Cricetulus griseus: one gene and its partners. The protein of the gene in region 1 purifies or fractionates together with the protein of each later gene. This does not show direct contact. Links are inferred from orthologs where the notes say so. Each region holds a gene or a part of one and is shown on either strand. Other genes may lie near its edges.

Region 1 (5,477 bases):
CCCCAGCCTTTTCTGTCTCCCATTTTCACTCTGCTACAGATCATGCTGACTCGATCCTTTGACTGAGAACCCTGGAAAACCCCATGTTTTATAGCGGAGCACTTGTGAAATGTTGATTACCATGTCACTATGTTCAGCATCTTTGGTAGCTTATCTGTAATAGGAATGCTGGCATGAAGCCATGTCTAACTAGATTAAAGTCAACCTGGTGGACTGGCATTCACATGAACCTGCACATACGGAAGGGAAGTAAAGCTGATAATGCAAGGTTCCCTGCAGACTAAGCAGAGAAGGGGAGGCAGCCGGTGAAACTCTTTAGTGAGCTTAGTAGTCAAGAGGGGCAGGCACAAGTGACAATGTTGTTTGAGAAATGGCCACTCATGGGTGTTTGCATAGGACAGCCTTGGTCTATAAGGACCCACTACTGAAGAGCAAGATAGAGTCGCTTGTTGATATGCACAATAAGGTGCCACAGACACACGTGAGGAGCTTCCCTCCAAGATTGCACTACAGACAAGGAAGGTACAGTTTCGTAGAGGATGTAATACAAGAATGAGGTTTGAAGGCTGGTAGGACATCCTGGGAGAAGGGTTCCAGGCAAAGGGACCAGCTTTCCTGGAAATGTAAGGAAAAGCCAAGGTTTCCACCAGGTCTGTGTCTTGTGCTTGTTCACATAGGAAGCTTGAGCTCTGTGATTGGAGAAATGGGATGCCCCAGTGATGGGGGTACCTGCCCTCTTTCTCCAGGTACCAGGTAACAAAAGCATCCGTGAGCTGCGGAGCAGCACCAGTGCCCTGAACCACACCCTGGAAGAGTCGGCATCTCTCCTCACCATGTTCTGGAGAGCAGCCTTGCCAAGCCAGCATGGGCCAGGACTGGTAGGCAAAGCGGTAAGAGGCTGGGTCTTTGGCTGGTTAAAACCTGCCTTTTCCATGCCAATATGGCCCTACTCCCAACTCCTCCAGCTTTCTTGATGGTCAAGGGTTATATGGCAGTTGGGATGGACAGGCTCTTCATGGAACATCGTGGAGGAAGACCTCTGAGCCAACGTGGCTGCCTTGCTGCAGCTCTAACACATTCTTTTCTCACCTTCCAACTCTTGATAAGACATCCAAGAGAAGGAAAGAATATAGGAAGTAGACATAATCAGCCTGGACACCCAGATTATGTCCAGTCTTGTACCCTGAAGTTTGGCCAAGCTTATCAAGAAACCTATTGACAATATGGCATTCTTCCTCCACCCCTAAGGTCCACCTGATCAAAAGATCATAGAATGTCACCATGAACATGAGAGCCTCTTATAGCCATGCTCTGTTGGTATCTCCGGCTCAAGCCTGGGAAAGCCAGCCACCTCCTGAAATCTGCTTGTCTCTCCAGCTATGGTTGGCAGACCCTTAGAGGTGTTCCAGCTGCAACTAACTGTTACTGATGTCTGTGGACCCAGTTACGCTAATTCAAGGTGTTTTCACATCTCCACAGTGGCAGATATTTCCAACTGTCCCACTGTCCTCTTCAGATATGACATCCCTGAACTCCTAAGTGTCACTAGACATAAGGAGTTCAGGAAATTCTACAGGACCAAACAGAGCTCTTGCTTGTGGTTGGGATTTTGTGCTGGCCTAGAGCAAGGCTCTCCCCAGCAGGCTTTGGTTTCTCCATGTCTCTCTTGTGGCCTGGTCCTCAGCTGTCTCCAGCTGGGATTTGAAAGTTTTGTTTGTTTGGTTTTTTGATAAAGGGTTTCTCTGCATATTTCTGTCTGTCCTGGAACTAGCTCTGTAGACCAGGCTGGCCTTAAACTCAGAGATCCACCTGCCTCTACATCTCAAATTCTGGAATTAAAGGTTCATGCCACCACTGCCCAGCTAAGATTTGAGAAGTTTTAAAGGAGAGAATTCAATACAAAATGTAGACAAGATGGATAGTATTCTGCTAGACCGTTAAGAGCTGCAAAGCACAGCATGTGTTTGGCCTTGTGAGTGTTGTCTGAGTCTATCCCTCTTCCTCAGGGACAGCTGATAGAGAAAGAAATCCTGGACCTGCGAGCCCAAGTGTCCCAGCAGGAACAGCTCCTACAGAAAACTAATGAACGTCTGAAGACAGCCAAGCAGAAGAAGAAGAACATGGAACAGTACATTGTGAACCACCGTAGGTGTCCCTGAGGGGCACATGGGAGCAGAGATGAGTAGTGACCAGAGGGACTTGAGAATGTTGAGGGAAGACACTGAGTAATGGTGGGTACAGAGGGAGGGGGTATGGCTAGCAATAGACTACACATTGAGTGAGAGAGAGAGTGTCTTAGGGCGCATATGCCAAGCAAGCCAGACTTAGCTGGTAATTTCCACATTGTGGGCTGTTTTATGTTTCCAGTGACCAGGACCCATGATGTCTTGAAGAAAGCACGGACTAATTTAGAGGTAAGGGCAACACAGCCACACTCAGCCACAGAGCCTGCCCTCAACCCACCACTGTCTGTCATCTGCGGGGCCCCTGGCTAGCTCTGACATCCTAAGAGGTTTCTGGTCCAGTGTAGGCCATGGCTCCTCAGCAAAGCCCACCCTACCTCACTCCCTGACCTCTCTGCTTGCCCTCATTGTGTTTTCATCTCTCCCTTTCACTGTAGATTTCACTGTAGCTGTGTGTGTGTGTGGGGGGGGGGTGAATAGGCTGGGGAAACAGAGCACAGGTGGCTCTTGAGGGCAGAGATATTTGAGTCCAACTATGAGGCCATTTGTGCACACTGGAGTTTCCTAAAAGCAGACAGAACCTTACAAATTGACCCCGCTGCCATTGCTGTGAGGTTGGGAGTATCCTTCTCTTTAAAGATCCCAGATGATCTTTGAGTCTCACTGATCTAGAAGGAAACGTGAAAATCAACACTGCCCCTAAGGGGGAAGACTCTCTCTCCCTGGCAGGTATTCTCCACAGTTACCTCAAATGCTAAGTGCTGGTCCTTTCCTGGGAAGCAGTGTGAGGGGAAACTTGGTATATGGGTTAAAGATCAGAAACGATTCTATGAACATAGACTCGACACTACCAGAGCCTCTGAGCAGATGCCCAGACAGCTCCTCATTGCATCTGCCTCAGTACAGGTGCAGAGGCCAGCATGGAAGGGGGTTGGGTCCTGATGTCGCTCACTCTTTTGTCTTGGTCTAATTCCTGCTCTCTGATGACTCCTTTCTTTCCCGAGCCCCTGTAGCACAGCTCTTACAAGATTGCCTCTGTGCAGCCATATTCCTGTCCCAGCAAAGGTAACCCAGCGGCCTCCAGCACCGCTGGCCCAGCCTGTGGACGCTTGCCTCTCCAGTTCCTAGGCCCCTAGGGAGGGCCTGTCACTAACTGGCTGTGTGGCTTTGGCTGGCCCCTTTATCTCTGAGCCTGCTGCCCCAAGTCTGTTATGGTAGAACCTGTCTTACATTATCTCCGAGGCCCTGATAACTACACCCCTCTCTGATAACTGGGACATGCATTTACCAGGGGGATTTCCTGCTGAATGTCCCCCCTTCTACAGAGGGCTTTCTGTGAGTGCTCATCTCCTGCTCAGCACTTCTTTTCTTGAGAGATACAAAAGGCCTTTTTGTTTTCTGTTCATTTGTTTGGTTCAGACCACTTGATTTGGAGCATGAACTGACTCCTGAAGGGAGAGTGATGGGGTCTGGCCACTCAGTGTCCAGTGGTGTAAGCAGGAAGAATCTGGGAGTGTGAAAGGCTTCCATCTAATCTGGGCTTTGGGAGCTTCTCCAGGCCAGCACTCCCCACCCCCGTGCTTGCCCTCCTAACCAGCTCTCAGACTCCTGGCTTCCAGCACATTTGCCTCTCATTCCAGCCTCCAGCAGGGTCTAATCACTCACTCTGACTAGATTTGTTTCCCTTTTGTCTGCAGGTGAAATCCTTAAGGGCCCGGCCACGCACCTCAGCCTTGTGACCCTTGCCTTCCAGGAGCCCCACAAGAAGCGAAGCCAGAAGCCCTTAAAACAGCAGGAAGGGTGGGCCTGCCCCTCTCTTGTGCAGCTGCCTATCTGCTGAGGAATACCTGGTTCCACTCCACCCCTGCTGGAGGTCCAGAAAAGGGCTCAGAGATGTGTCCACATGGGACAGGCAGGAAGGAGAGTGGCATCCTGGCAGCAGTGAATATGATTAGCTAAGGCCCACTGGGCCGGCACTAAGCAAAGCTGATGTAGACTGCACAGAAGGCCTTGTGGCCCTGCTTCTAAACAGCTTCAGTGGCATGGCACCCACCTCGTCACAGTTCTTGCCTCAGCATCTGTCCTCAAGACGGCCAACTCAGGGGAACTAGGACCTGGCTGCCCACAAATAGGATGTGTGGTTCCAACACCAAAGCTCCTCAGACAGTTGTAAAAGCACACTACTGAGCGGCAGTGCCCTGCTGGACAGTGTTGGGGTTCAGCAAGCTCCCCTCACAAACCCACTCTTGACCCAGGCCAGCCCTATGGGCCAAACCAGGTAGTACTTTGGTCTATACTACCACACTGGAGTTCTTTGAGTCTACACAGCAAACATGGTGACTTCTGGGTGCCCCATGCTTAGCCTATCACCTTCTGTTTCTTATATGATCTCAAGTTAAACTGGCTCCCTTAAATGTGCTGTCCCCCTATAATTCTAACTTCCCTCAGGGGGACTGGGGGCTGATGGCCACATCATACCTATTGAATGTCTAGCATAGAGCACACCTGTACCTCTTTTAATGGCATAGGCGAGGCTTGTTCTGTACTGAAGACTGTGTGTCTTCACAGTGCTCATATGATGTGGGTGTGTGTATAAATGTATAATATAGATAAATATGTTGCCATGGCCATGTGTTAAAGGCCATACTGTGCAGACAGGTGGGTGAGAGGATGCTACACAGTCTTTCTGATGGCTATTAAAGCAAACTGTGTATAAACAAGTTGTTCTCCTTAGCTTCTTGCTTCTGTACCAGTTCCTAGAATAAGGATATAAGAGTATGAAAGATGTAAACTGCCATCTGGCATCTCCATGTGTGTGTGCCTTTTCAGCTGGTCTCCCTGAGGCCCCCTGAGTTCAAACCCTAGTTTCCCACGAGGACCCATTTCCACTCCGACAAGATGAAAGAAACAATCATGAAGCAGGAAAAACTCGCCAAACTGCAGGCACAAGTGCACTTTGGCGGGAAAGGAACCACTTGCAGAAAGGTGGTGGTTCCCAGAACAGCCCAGCAGATGATAAAAAAAAAAAAAAAAAAAAAAAAAGTTCTCCTTAAAGAGCCTTTAACAGCCATAAAAGCTGAGGCTTCAATGGCAGCTCACACCTTCACCATCACAGCTCACACCTACACGATCACAGCTCACACCTGCACCTTCACAGCTCACACCTGCACCATCACAGCTCACACCTTCACCTTCACAGCTCACACCTTCACCTTCACCATCACAGCTCACACCTTCACCTTCACCATCACAGCTCACACCTTCACCATCACAGCTCACACCTTCACCATCACA
Region 2 (6,016 bases), on another chromosome or scaffold:
ACAGTTATCTCTCCATTGGGAATGGGCTCCAAAAAGCCAGTTCATTCACTAGGGATAAATACTGGTTCCCCTGCTAGTGGCCCCACAAACTGTCCAAGTCACCCAACTGTCACCCACATTTGGAGGGCCTGGTTTGGTCTTATGCAGGTTCTCCAGCTGTCAGTCTGGAGTTAGTGAGCTCCCACTGTCTCAGGTCAGCTGATTCTGTGGGTTTCCTCATCATGGTCTTGACCCCTTTGCTCATGTTATCACTCTTCCCTCTCTAGGACTGGTCAGCCTAGATACATGGGGGATGGGGAGACTTGCTCCTGCCTCAAGTGATATGACAGACTTTGTTGATTCCCCATGGGAGGTTTCATGGGGGGTGGAGTGGGAAGAAGGTGGGGAGGAGCAGGGCTGCAGGGAGAGGGAACTGGGATTGGTATGTAAAATAAGACTTTTAAAAATGAAAAATAATAAAGAAAAACATTAAAAGGCAGTGGGGGGAGCTAGCACAGGTCAAGTTGGCCCCAGCCCCTTCTGGAGATAAACCTGGTAGACAAGAGTACTGGGATGGAAGTAGGCCCACCTGTGCCAGCTCTGCTTTTGCAGCACACTAACTATAAAGCACAGAATAAGTGACAGCCTCATTAGTGTCATGGAGCTGGAATGATGAACGAAGACATTTCCAGAGAACCTAGCACACCAAAAATGTCAACAAATGGCTGCCCTTTCTCTAATCATTAATAATAACAGGGGCTACTTTATGGTCATGATCGTCATGATCCACCAACCAGTGTTTTCAAAATGTGGTCAGGGCACTGTAGGTGCCAGAAAACCTGAGGTGTTTGTTGACCAAAAAGAAAAAGAATCTATGTCCCACCTATTCATAACAGTTCTCTAAGAAGGTACTAGATAATGTTATTTTCCCAAACTTCAAGCTGCACGTGAAATGTAAGCTTCATTGATCCTGTACCCTGTGCTGTGCCACACAGACTGGTGTCCGTCCACACGTACTCTCTCCTGTGCCAAGAGAATGACCTAGTGTCTTAAGTATTCTCCTGGATATAGACATACCTTAATAGGTCTGTAGGGTTTTGGTCAATTTCCCATGTGTGTCTTTTCCACAAATGAGTATATCTTGAAGTGTGTGTGTGTGTGTGTGTGTGTGTGTGTGTGTGTGTGTGTGTGTATGTGTGTGAGAGAGAGAGAGAGAGAGAGAGAGAGAGAGAGAGAGAGAGAGAGAGAGAGGGCGTGCGTGCGTGTATGTGCATACATGCACATGACTATATATATATTTCCCCCTTTGTCCAGGAGTAAACTATGGCCTTGTATGAATTCAAGCTCCAGAGAGTACACTTGGTTAAAGATCTATTTGGAAAAAAAATGATCCAGATGATAAGATGCCCACAGTCTGAAAGGGCCATTCACAAAAAAGTCTGCCAAGCATTCTATAGCCTACAATTGTTTTTAACCGCTTCTTACACAGTTTACTTCTATGGGAACAAGAGTGTGACTTAGAAGAATAAAAATGAACTGCCCCAACAGAGATTATACTAACACCAAACATACATCTGCTGGATAATGATCAAATTGTGCTAGGGTAGAGCCAAAACTTCTGAAATCCCTGGAGGTAGAGGTGGGAATAAACTAGTTAAGTATTCATTACAACTGACCTTGAGTAATTTTATAGGAAAGATGACTTGAAGAATATAAAGCTTCATAAAAGTAAATACCCCTACTGCTTACAAATGCACTTCTTTGTTCCAATGTGCAGGATACACACCCTTGCAAGGAGAAATCAAGTCAATGCAAAGTACTTCAAGAGAATTAAACAAAAAGGGGTTAGCTGTATTAACATCATAGTCTGAAGAGCATAAAGGTTCTTTACCAAGTCCCCCATCTCCTGTTGCCTGCCATCCAGTCCCTATCTCCTTTGTGTACTGCTTGCCTCCATGTGTATCTCCCTTCACACACAGTGTGTGCACAAGGGCGTGTGCACACACGTCATAGATGACACTGCAGGACAAGCATTTGATTTGGTGTGGGAACAATTGAATTTATGACTACCCTATCCTCAAAAGCACCAAATGTCCCATATTAAGATTTTTAAATAGTAATCTTCCCTTTCACATTTAAAGAGCACTAATGTCCACAGTTTCACGTTTTAGACCAGCTAAAAGTGCATTACTCTTGTAACCCAGCCAATATGTAATTAATTCTACAAAGAAATAAAAAATCTTTCTAGGAAGGGACACAGGAAATGAAGTGTTTTCATTGTATGAAATGCATTGTGGACACACAAATCACCAGCACTATAAATAAATAAAAGTTGCATGCGTGCTTGCCTTACACCACATAGAAAACACTAGTACATTTGCACACCATGGCATTTTAGCCTGGGTTCCTGAAAAACACTGTGTAAATACAAGGGACTGTGAACGTGTGTGTGTGTGTGTGTGTGTGTGTGTGTGTGTGTGTGTGTGTGTGTGTGTGTATGTGTGTATCTGGTGTGTCAGGGAGAGGTTGGGAAGCACGAGGGACGGCACTTGCCTTTTGGCAGCTATTTAAGAAAATTCCTTTTCTCTCTCATTCATTCTTTCTAGCCTCAGTGTCTGGCAAGGTCCTTACAGTTACTCACTGGCTTTTCATTCTAAAGACAGCCGACATGCTCTTAGAGCTTCCTATGGTGTTATTTTTTTCCCACACACTTAAAAAAAATCAAACCATTCAATATATGTTTTGAAATTTTTTAAGAAAAGAAAATCATTGGCCTATTTCCTCACTTCAGAGACCCCTTACATATCTGGCTAAATGTGATCCTTTGTTATGCGTCCAAAAATATCTCCACCACATGATATTGGAAAATAATAAATTATTCGTATTCCAAGGATGTCACAGCTATTACCATTCATTTGCTTTACCTTAGTGAGTCGATGTCACACTCCTCTTACTGAGTCCTACACGCTTGCCTTTTTCTCTGCGAACACTCCATTAATAAATTTAAGGGCTGAAAAGAGGACACCAAGCGCCCTTCATGCACAATGGCACTCTCCAAGACTGAGACATCTCCAGCCACGGGAAAGTTAACCTTCCAGCAAGATGCCCACCCCAAATCGGCCAAGGAAGAAAGGTGACAGAGGGGCTGCGGAGCGCAACCTTTCATTTCTCCACCTCCAGAGAAAGGGAGGGCTTGGCAAGAGAGCGGAGTAGGAAGGTGGGCGAGTGGGAGACCGAAATGGGTGCCGGGGTGGGTGGGTGTGGGCGGGATGGGAAGATAGAGAGTTCGGGGAAGGTGGGGAGCTCAGCGCAGGGTTCGAGAGCAAGGCGGGGTTGGCGAGCGAGACGGGCGGGCGGGCGCGGTGGTCAGGGCGCGAGGGGGCCGGTCCTCACCATTGAACGCCCCTGCTTCCGCGGCCTCCTCCTCCTCGCCGTTTTCGGAGTCGGAGCGCATGGGCTCCTCAGCGAAGTTGACACCCTTACTGGGGGCGCCGCCCCCGACGGCGGCGCCCGCGTTCCCCCAGGTCCTGCCCTCATGGCCGAAGCAAGCGGCGCCCTTGCGCTCGTTCTCCTGCTGCAGCCGCGTGAAGTGCTGCAGCGCGAACTCCAGCAGGTCGGCCGGCTGGTGCCTCAGCACCTCCACCGTGAAGCCCTGCAGCAGCTCCGTGAGCCCCGCGGGGATCTCGATGCTCATCCTGCCTGTGCACGCCCCGGCGCCTGGGCGCCGCCCTCGCACCCTGTCCGCTGTCCGGTCTCAGGCTGCGCGGCCCCGAGCGAGCGCCCCCGGCGCTACCGGCTGCGAACGCGGCGCCCTGGGCCCCTGGCGCGGCTGCTCCGTGCGGCGGCGGCGGCGGCAGAGCGAGCACAGCCCGGGAGGGTTGGCAGCATCTCCAGCTCCTCCCGCTCCCTCTCCCGCCACCACTGCACCGCCCCACGCCCGGCGCCCCGCCCCCGCCCGCGCGCCCACGTGATCCCCGGAAACCATGGCAACCCGGCAGGCGGGTTCAGCGCCACTTGCTAAGTGGCCTCTGGGTGGAGGCAGCGGGAACCTAGGGCGTGAGGCCGACAGCTCTCAGAGCAGATCCTGCGCATCATTCTGCCCAAGCCCTCCCGGAGTTGGCGTCGTGCAATTTGTTCTGAAACTTCAGCCTCCACCTTGGTGGTGGCTTTTCTTCTCCTAGAAGCCAACAGTAAGAGAAATGTGCATGGTGTCTTTTGTTAAAGTCACACAGCTGTACTGGTTCTCTTTTGGATACAGGAAATATGGCTACTTATTTGTTACAACATTTTCTTTCACTAGGTTTTTTCCCGCTTTTCAGTCACCTGGCTGTGATGGTCAGCTTGCTGTGCAGATGTTCTGCCACGGCATGCTTGGTGCATTTCTTGCTAGTTGCTGAGACAAAGGCAACATTTATTTATTCAATTTTTATTAATTTGTTCGAGACCAGCCTGGTCTACAAGAGCTAGTTCCAGGACAACCTTCAAAGCCACAGAGAAACCCTGTCTCCAAAACACCAAAAAAATAAATTATTATTATCAAGCACCCCTCCCTCCTCTCCTCCCACTCCCTCCCCATCCCGTCTGCTCCTCGGAAAGGGTAGGGCCTCCCCTAGGAAGTCTACTAAGTCTGTCCCATCATCTAGTTGAGTCAGGACCAAAGCACCTCTTCAACCCCACCCCGTTTCTACGCTGGGCAAGGTGGCTCTCCATATAGAATGGGCTCCACTAAGTCAGTCTGTTTATGCATTAGTGTTAGGTCTTGGACCCATTGCCAGTGGCCTCATATATTGTCCCAGTCACACCATTGTCAACTATATTAAGGGAGTCTAGTTCAGTCTTACGTAGATACCCCATTTGTCAGACCTGAATAAGTGATCTCTCACTGGCTCGGGTCACCTGGTTTCCCCATCATGGTCTTGACTCCTTTGTTCATATTATCACTCCTCTCTCACTTTGATTGTACTCCAGGAGCTTGGCCCATTGGTTAGTTGTGGATTTCTGCATCTGCTTCCATCTGTTTCTGGAAGAGGATGCAAGCTCCTCTGGGGTTGTGGATTATAGGCTGGGTATCTTTTGCTTTATGTCTGGTATATTTGTCTTTCTGGTTTTGGGTTACCTCACTCAGGATGGTTTTTAGGATGCCATTGTTTCTTAACACTGAATAGTACTCCATTGTGTAAATGTACCACATTTTCTTTATCCATTCTTCAGTTGAGGGGCATGTAGGTTGTTTCCAGGTTTTGGCTATTACCAATAATGTTGCTATGAACATAGTTGAGCAATGTCCTTGTTTGGTGAGTGTGCATCCTTTGGGTATATGCCCAAGAGTGGTATTGCTGGGTCTTGAGGTAGGTTGAACCCTAATATTCTGAGAAATTGATATACTGATTTCTACAGTGGCTGTATAAGTTTGTACTCCCACCAGCAAAGGAGGAATGTTCCCCTTTATTCCACATCCTCTCAAGCATAAGCTGTCATTGTTGTTTTTGATGTTAGCAATTCTGATCAGTGTAAGATGGGATATCAGAGTGGTTTTGATTGGCATTTCCCTGATGACTAAGGATATTGAGCATTTCCTTAAGAGTCTTTCTGCCATTTGAGATTGTTCTGTTGAGAATTCTCTGTTTAGATCTATACCCCATTTTTAAATTGGATTATTTGGTAATTTGATGTCTAGTTTTTTCAACTCTTTCTATATGTTGGAGATCAGCCCTCCATCAGATATAAGGTTGGTAAAGAATTGTTCCCATTCTGTGGGGAGCCGTTTTGTCTTGTTGACTGTGTCCTTTGCTTTACAGAAGCTTCTCAGTTTCTGGAGGTCCCATTTATTAATTGTCAATCTGAGTGTCTGTGTTACTGGTGTTAAATTCAGGAATTGATCTCCGATGTTCAAATGTATTTCCCACTTTCTCTTCTATGAGGTTCAATGTGGATGGATTTATATTGAGGTCCTTGAACCATTTGGGCTTAAGTTTTGTGCATGGCGATATATATGCATCTATTTGCTTCTTCTACATGTTGACAGCCAGTTATACCA
Region 3 (6,225 bases), on another chromosome or scaffold:
CAGGGACAACAGACTATTATTTGACACAAAAGGGGGAAAAGTAGTGATGCATGCTGCAATGTGGATCTCACAAAAGAATGTGAATTGTTAGGAATCTTATCTGTGAATAGGTAAATCTATAGAGTAAAAAATATTGTGGGCAAGGGGGCCTGCCTTGGGGACAGGATGACAAGAGAAAAATGAGAAAGGATTGCTAATGGACATGTGTTTCTTTTCAAATAATTGAAAATGTTCCCAATATGGATTATGGTGATGTTACACACCATTTACATTCTGTAGTTTACTTTAAATGGGTAAGCTTTATGATATAAAAATTACATCTTCATGTATGTGCTCCTGTTCACGCTGGGGGCACATGTCACTGTGGATGTATGCACAGGAGTGTGCAGACACACCTGGAGGTGAGAGGTTAGCCTGGAGGCCATTCCTCAGAAGCCAGCTGCCGTGGTTGTTTTCTTTTGTTTGAAACAGGGTCTTTTTTTCTTGGGCCTGGGGTTTGCAGATTCCGCTAAAGTGGCTAATTTGCCAGCTCCAGGGATCTGATCTCAGCCCCTCTAGCACATATCACCAAGCTCAGAATTTTGTATGTGGGGTCTGGGAATCAAACTCTGGCCCTTTACTAACTGAAGAACCACAGTTCTCCTCAAGCCTCACAGCCCAAGAAAACCTTGGATCCAAGCCAGCCCTCTCACTACCATCAAGCCTTCATCCGATTTCACCCTCATGTCCTCTTTTCAGACCCTTTCTCCTGGCATCCATGATGAGGACACATATACTGTGCTTATGACTAAACATTTCCTTCCAGTATGCTCCTAACATGGCAGCAAGTACTTAGTGACCATGTGCTAGAGCAACCCATGATTCAGAAAGCTTGGGCTCAGGCCTCAGGACACTCACAGCTGAGCACAGACAGACTCTTGGCATGTAAACAAAGAGCTGGACTGAGGGCTACAGTGTTGAGGATTCTGTACAACCAACAGTGTGCATGATGGTGTTCATTTAAGAACACAAACCAAATTCACATTTTCTCCAGTATATGCCAAGCGCTTACTATGCACACTTGTACTTCATCGGCACAGATATCAGTAAACCGAGTATACCAACAAAGAGAAACTGAGGGTTGGAAGGGAAGTGACTTATTCAAAGCAGCATAACCAGCAAGGGGCTGAATGAGGGTTTTTACAGTCATCTGTGCTATCATATTGACTGCCAAGCACAGGTCTTTCTACATAAAAAGATGCAGAAGTCTTAACTGGGGCAGGATCCCTGGGTCCAAATTCCATGGGGATAAAGCTGCTTGAAACATGCACAAGGATTAGGTTTGGAGCAAATAGTGTATCCTTACCTAAAGAAACAAAAGTTCAAGGACAAACTGGGTTCAGTTTAGGCTGTAAACATGGGGCTTGCAAATTACCAAGAGAAGGTTGCTCAGAAAGCAACATACTAAAATGAAAATGATACTTTATCATAGGAACTATTTTCTCCCATTGTGGTTACCTAATGGAGACCCATCTCCACCCACCCACCCCTCCCACCCCCACCCCCCGGAATATTTCTGATACATACTCTTGAAGGGCCAGTTCAGTGCCAGAAGCTCAGTAAGAGCTCCTGAATACTCACTTTGATTAGTTCAGACCATCCAGAAGGCAAAACAGGTTCTGGAATCAGGAAACTTGGATTTAAATGCTGACTTATCATGAACTCTTTATGTGACCCCAGACCATTTGTTTTAGCTCTCTGAGCTTCAGGGGTCCCACGGATAACAAGGAGACAAAAGTGGCCCCTCAGGGAATCATTTCTCACAGTGACTTAAAGTTCCTGTTCTAAAACGAGTTTCCATCTCATCTGGTGGCCATATGTTAATAGCCAACACCTGTATCATCCAATACACAGGCCATTAACTAGAACTTGAAACGCAGTTTGTCCAACTGAGAAGGAATTTAAGTGTAAAAACTCATACCAGATGTCAAAGATTAAGACTGAAAAGCATAAAATACCTCATCAACAAGTTTTCTTATAGATTTTTCTAGAATTATATATGGAAATCTCAAACTAAATAAAGTATGTTATTAAGTCACTTGCTCCCAATGGTACTGCTGCCCGGTGGTAAAGCACTTGCTGAGCACATGTGAGGCCCCCTGTTCAACCTCCAGCACCATAGAGAAAGGAATTTTACTTGCTTCTTTTTATTTACTTTTTTTAATTGTGACTACCAGAAAGTTTTTGTTCTTGTTTTAGTTTTTAGAGATAGGGTTTCTCTGTATTGCCCGGGCTAACCTAGAACTGGTTCTGTAGATCAGGCTGGCCTGGAACTCTGAGGTCCACCTACCTCTACCTCCCCAGTGCTGACATCAAAGGTGAGCACCACCATTCCTGGCTTACAAGGAAGTTTTTAATTAAATACACACCACAGGTCGTATTTCTATTGGACAGTGCTATTGGGCTGTCAACAAGGTTCGGACAATGACAAGCGAGGGTACCTGGAACAGTCCAGTCAAGGGTGGGAATATCAGTGAGGGTTTCCTAACAGTGGAAGATGTTAGGCAAAAGATAACTGGAAGATAAGGCAAAAGGTGTACAAAGGACAACTGAGGCAGCAAGAACAGCAAGTGCACAGGCCCAGCAGCAAGAAACACAGCAAGATCATTCCTGACACTGAGCTTGAGCTTGGCAATCAGGCATAGGGCAAAGACAGGGTTGGGAACCAGAGAGAGACAGTGGGGGTGAAGCAAGAGAAGCAGATGCAGCAGTCTATGGAGAAACATGGAAGCCACATTACAGAACTTCATCCTGCAGACAGCAAGTTGCCTGGAGGGCCTAGAGTAGGTTAAGATTCGAATTACCAGAAATGAATGCAGTATCTGTCCTATCAAGGCTGGGAGAGGAAGGAAAGGAGAGTATTAGCAGATCCATTAAGTTAGACACTGTGCTAGTTTAGTTCCCTTGCCAACAACCTATTCCAAATGTCCAAAATAATCTAATTTCTGGTCCCAAGGGCTTTGGATAGAAGACACAACTTGTAGCAGTGGTCATGATGGTAACACTGATCCCCCTTCTCAACACTGTTGTGTCAGCTGCTGCACTTGCCAAGAGAACTGCTGGGCAGCCATTGTTTCTTTTCATTCTCATCCAATTATGGTGAGTGCATACGTGCGTATTACCATTAGCCCATTTCACAGAGCAGAAGTCAATTTACCAAGGTCACCCACATTGTCACTTTTTTGGGTGGACCTAAACCCAGTTCTGTCCATCTTCAGCCAAGGATCTTAACTCCTGCACTGATGCCTCTGTCCTGGGAGGCTACTGTGCCCGCCCCCAAAGTTTAAAATAACAACTACACGCCCCATAATGAATGCAAACCCCCAAACAAAAATTATTCACCAAGTGCCCTAGGGTCCCGGTCCCAACCCAGCCCCTATTAATAGAAATCCCAATTAGTCCCACCTCCTCCCCGTCTTTCACAAAGTCCCTTACCTATCCTACACATTCTCTCAAAGTATGTTCCAGAATACCACAGACGAATGTGGAGCTGGCTGGACACCCCCAGGTCCTAACACACGCAGGCAGCAGCAGGGACCATCCTCAAACAAACGGAAGGCCTCACGGGAGAGAACCACCATCAATAGGAACCCCAACCCAGTTACCATGAACCCCAAAATCAGGGCCACACCTGCAGCCGCTGAGGGTCACAGGCAGGGTGATGTCCTCTTCCATTCCCGAGTCCATTACTGAACACCGAGATGGTGGCACCGGTGTCTGCGGAGGCGCCACTGGTTCCCCGAGCTGTGGCGACCTGCTCGGTTCCCCAGGTCCCGCCCCTTCCAACCCAGCTCTTGTTCTCAGTCTAGCGGCGCCACTGGAATTCAAACCGCAGCCGCCGCCATCTTTTCCTTGCTTCTTCCTACGGAAACAGGGCGGGGTCATCTGGCACACGGGGTGAAGCCGCCCTGAACCGGCCTGAAACCGGGCAGGGAAAGCATGAGTGGACGCCATCTTAACTCAGGGCAGAATCTTCGCTCTTGAACCTGTAATACTAAGAAAAGAGACGCTGGCCGCCATTTTTTATGTGTGCGGGTACTCGTGATGAAGCCAAGGCAGGGGCCATATTTGTTGAGGGTGAAAATCCGCCCTGGTCAGTTAATTTAAGCGGGAGGTGGGACAACTCATAGTGTCTAATTCTGTTTGCTGTTCTATAATCATGACTACACACTCGCGCCTTGGTTCTTTTACTCAAAAGACTTCTGCCTTATGTTGAAACTCAGATAATTGAGTTCTACCTCTATTTAGAAAAATACCACCTGTGGAGCGCTAGTATAAGCAGTAATTTACAGACTGAGTTTGATGCCTCATACCTATAAAGGGGTCAGGCATACTTCATGTCAAAGCTTTCAATGAAATTTGTTACCGTTAGAACTCATGCACCAACAATCAGTAAACTGAGACCCGGGGAGAAGAAATATTCAAGTTTACTATCCACCAAAACCAGATCCTTAGCTTCTGGCATGGAGATCTGGGTCCTCTGGAGCCATGTTTTAACCTTCCTGGAGAGAACGAAGATATTATGAGAAAAGCCACTGTGTTGCCTCTCAAATTATGATCTTTACAAAACTGGAATTTCAGCTATTCCTCCTTGGAACCCCTCCCACTCTCAGAGTTTTTTCTTCACTTTTCTTTAATAAATCTACACAGGAGTGAGAGAGAGGAACTTAAAGTGGAGTGGGGGAGAGGGAGTGAGTGGGGAGGAAGAAAAAGTAAGGGAGAGAGGGAAGAGGAGAGGGAAAGAGAGAGGGATAGGGAGGATGTATGGATGTGGAACAGTGGTCCCTAGCAGTTAAGTATCTCCTACTGCCAGTTTGTTTGTTTTTGTTTTGGCTGGGCCCTCAATAGTTACAAGGCTGTTTGTACTGCACAACACTAGCTCCAGACCTGCTATATTCTGTGGTTCTGGGGGAAGGAGTGGGTGTCCATGACTGACAAGCTCAAGTGCTGAGATAATGGGGCTAGTACCTAACCTACAAGGTTTTTGTAAGGATGACCTGAGATATCTTTAGGAATTCTGTCAGTAGTAATTCTGTCAGTAGTAATATGTTCACATGTTCATATTCATTCCCATTCCTCCATAACCTCAAATACTCTTTCTTTGCAAACTGGCAAGAGTCAGAGCTGTGATTTGAGCCCAGATGCCTCTGAACTCCAATGTCCTAAAAGGTTCAGACAGGCCATATTCCCCAAGTGTTCAGTTCTTTTTCCATCTTAGAACTTACAGTTGAGACATGAGATCTGTGATTGCTGGAAGAGGAGGTGTCATTATCTTCCATGGTAAGTTGCACATACTCCAATGAATAACCCCCATCCATGCTCATATAAGCAACCCTATTTAAACTTAGTGGGGAGAAAAAGGACAGGAAAGTAAGAGACTAGTTGGAAAGAACAAAGGAGTCATCAGGAGTGCATGAGAACAGAAGAGCGCAATGTGAGGTGATGAATATGATGATAGCAAACTGTATGTATGTATGTATGTATGTATGTATGTATGTATGTATAAAATGTAACAAAAACAGAAATCAAAGAAAGACATAAAGTCTAGTGTAGATAGCATAGTACTTAAATGCTATAATCAACAGATTCTATTCTTTAAGGAGATGTCTCAAGGTGGCTGTGATAGGATTTCAGGAGTGTGGATGCCTAGATTCTAACTACAGCTCATTTTGTAACCTCTTCCCCTTTCAGTTCTTTTGCTTTCCCACATACAAAAATGGAGTAGAGAACCATAAAGAACCCATAGGAAGTTCCCATTCATTAATCCCTGTCCTATTCAGTAGGCCATATTTGTGGGTTATGAGCTTAAACTTTGATGAAACTGAAAATAGAATCAATTATACAAAAGAAAAACTGTATCGGAAGTTGTTTTTCCTGCTACTGTAGCATATTCATGGTTATAGACAGAGAGGCCATTGCTCCGTTTTTCTCATTGTGGTTTTTCTTTCTGCCAAGCCCAGAAGTGACATCATTCCCATCAGCTGTTTGGGCTATCTGGAGCCATCTCCTTGACAACAGCCATCCAGCCACAAAGACAGCATTCTTACTTCCTTGGATGAGGGCATTCTGCATGGCTGGAAGTGGTTTGTGTCCAGATGCTTTTGATTTGGCAGGAACCCTCTCAAGTTGTAGCAGTTCAAGACAGTAGAGTTGCTATTACTAACAGCAAGAATAGTTTTTTACATG

What was found. The genes of interacting proteins can lie anywhere in the genome.
Region 2: the proteins of myomegalin (region 1) and Prkar2b purify together in Homo sapiens (affinity purification with mass spectrometry; 4 studies listed by BioGRID and IntAct, counting the BioPlex papers as one, with this or other methods). This does not show direct contact. The link is inferred for Cricetulus griseus from reciprocal best matches to the Homo sapiens genes PDE4DIP and PRKAR2B.
Region 3: the proteins of myomegalin (region 1) and Cdk5rap2 purify together in Homo sapiens (affinity purification with mass spectrometry; 3 studies listed by BioGRID and IntAct, counting the BioPlex papers as one, with this or other methods). This does not show direct contact. The link is inferred for Cricetulus griseus from reciprocal best matches to the Homo sapiens genes PDE4DIP and CDK5RAP2.

The regions. Positions count from the first base shown.
Region 1 is NW_023276806.1:58,785,830-58,791,306, forward strand, and holds the end of myomegalin, read left to right. Parts: intron 1-677; coding exon of another isoform or gene 678-686; exon of another isoform or gene 687-701; intron 702-746; coding exon 747-890; intron 891-2,006; coding exon 2,007-2,145; intron 2,146-2,367; coding exon 2,368-2,414; intron 2,415-3,196; coding exon of another isoform or gene 3,197-3,248; intron 3,249-3,880; coding exon 3,881-3,922; coding exon of another isoform or gene 3,923-4,023; 3' UTR 4,024-4,903; downstream 4,904-5,477. UniProt on the Homo sapiens protein: Functions as an anchor sequestering components of the cAMP-dependent pathway to Golgi and/or centrosomes.
Region 2 is NC_048598.1:169,643,201-169,649,216, forward strand, and holds the start of Prkar2b (cAMP-dependent protein kinase type II-beta regulatory subunit), read right to left. Parts: upstream 3,904-6,016; 5' UTR 3,674-3,903; coding exon 3,373-3,673; intron 1-3,372. UniProt on the Homo sapiens protein: Regulatory subunit of the cAMP-dependent protein kinases involved in cAMP signaling in cells. Type II regulatory chains mediate membrane association by binding to anchoring proteins, including the MAP2 kinase.
Region 3 is NC_048595.1:75,831,740-75,837,964, reverse strand, and holds the start of Cdk5rap2 (CDK5 regulatory subunit-associated protein 2), read right to left. Parts: upstream 3,904-6,225; 5' UTR 3,727-3,903; coding exon 3,671-3,726; intron 1-3,670. UniProt on the Homo sapiens protein: Potential regulator of CDK5 activity via its interaction with CDK5R1. Negative regulator of centriole disengagement (licensing) which maintains centriole engagement and cohesion. Involved in regulation of mitotic spindle orientation.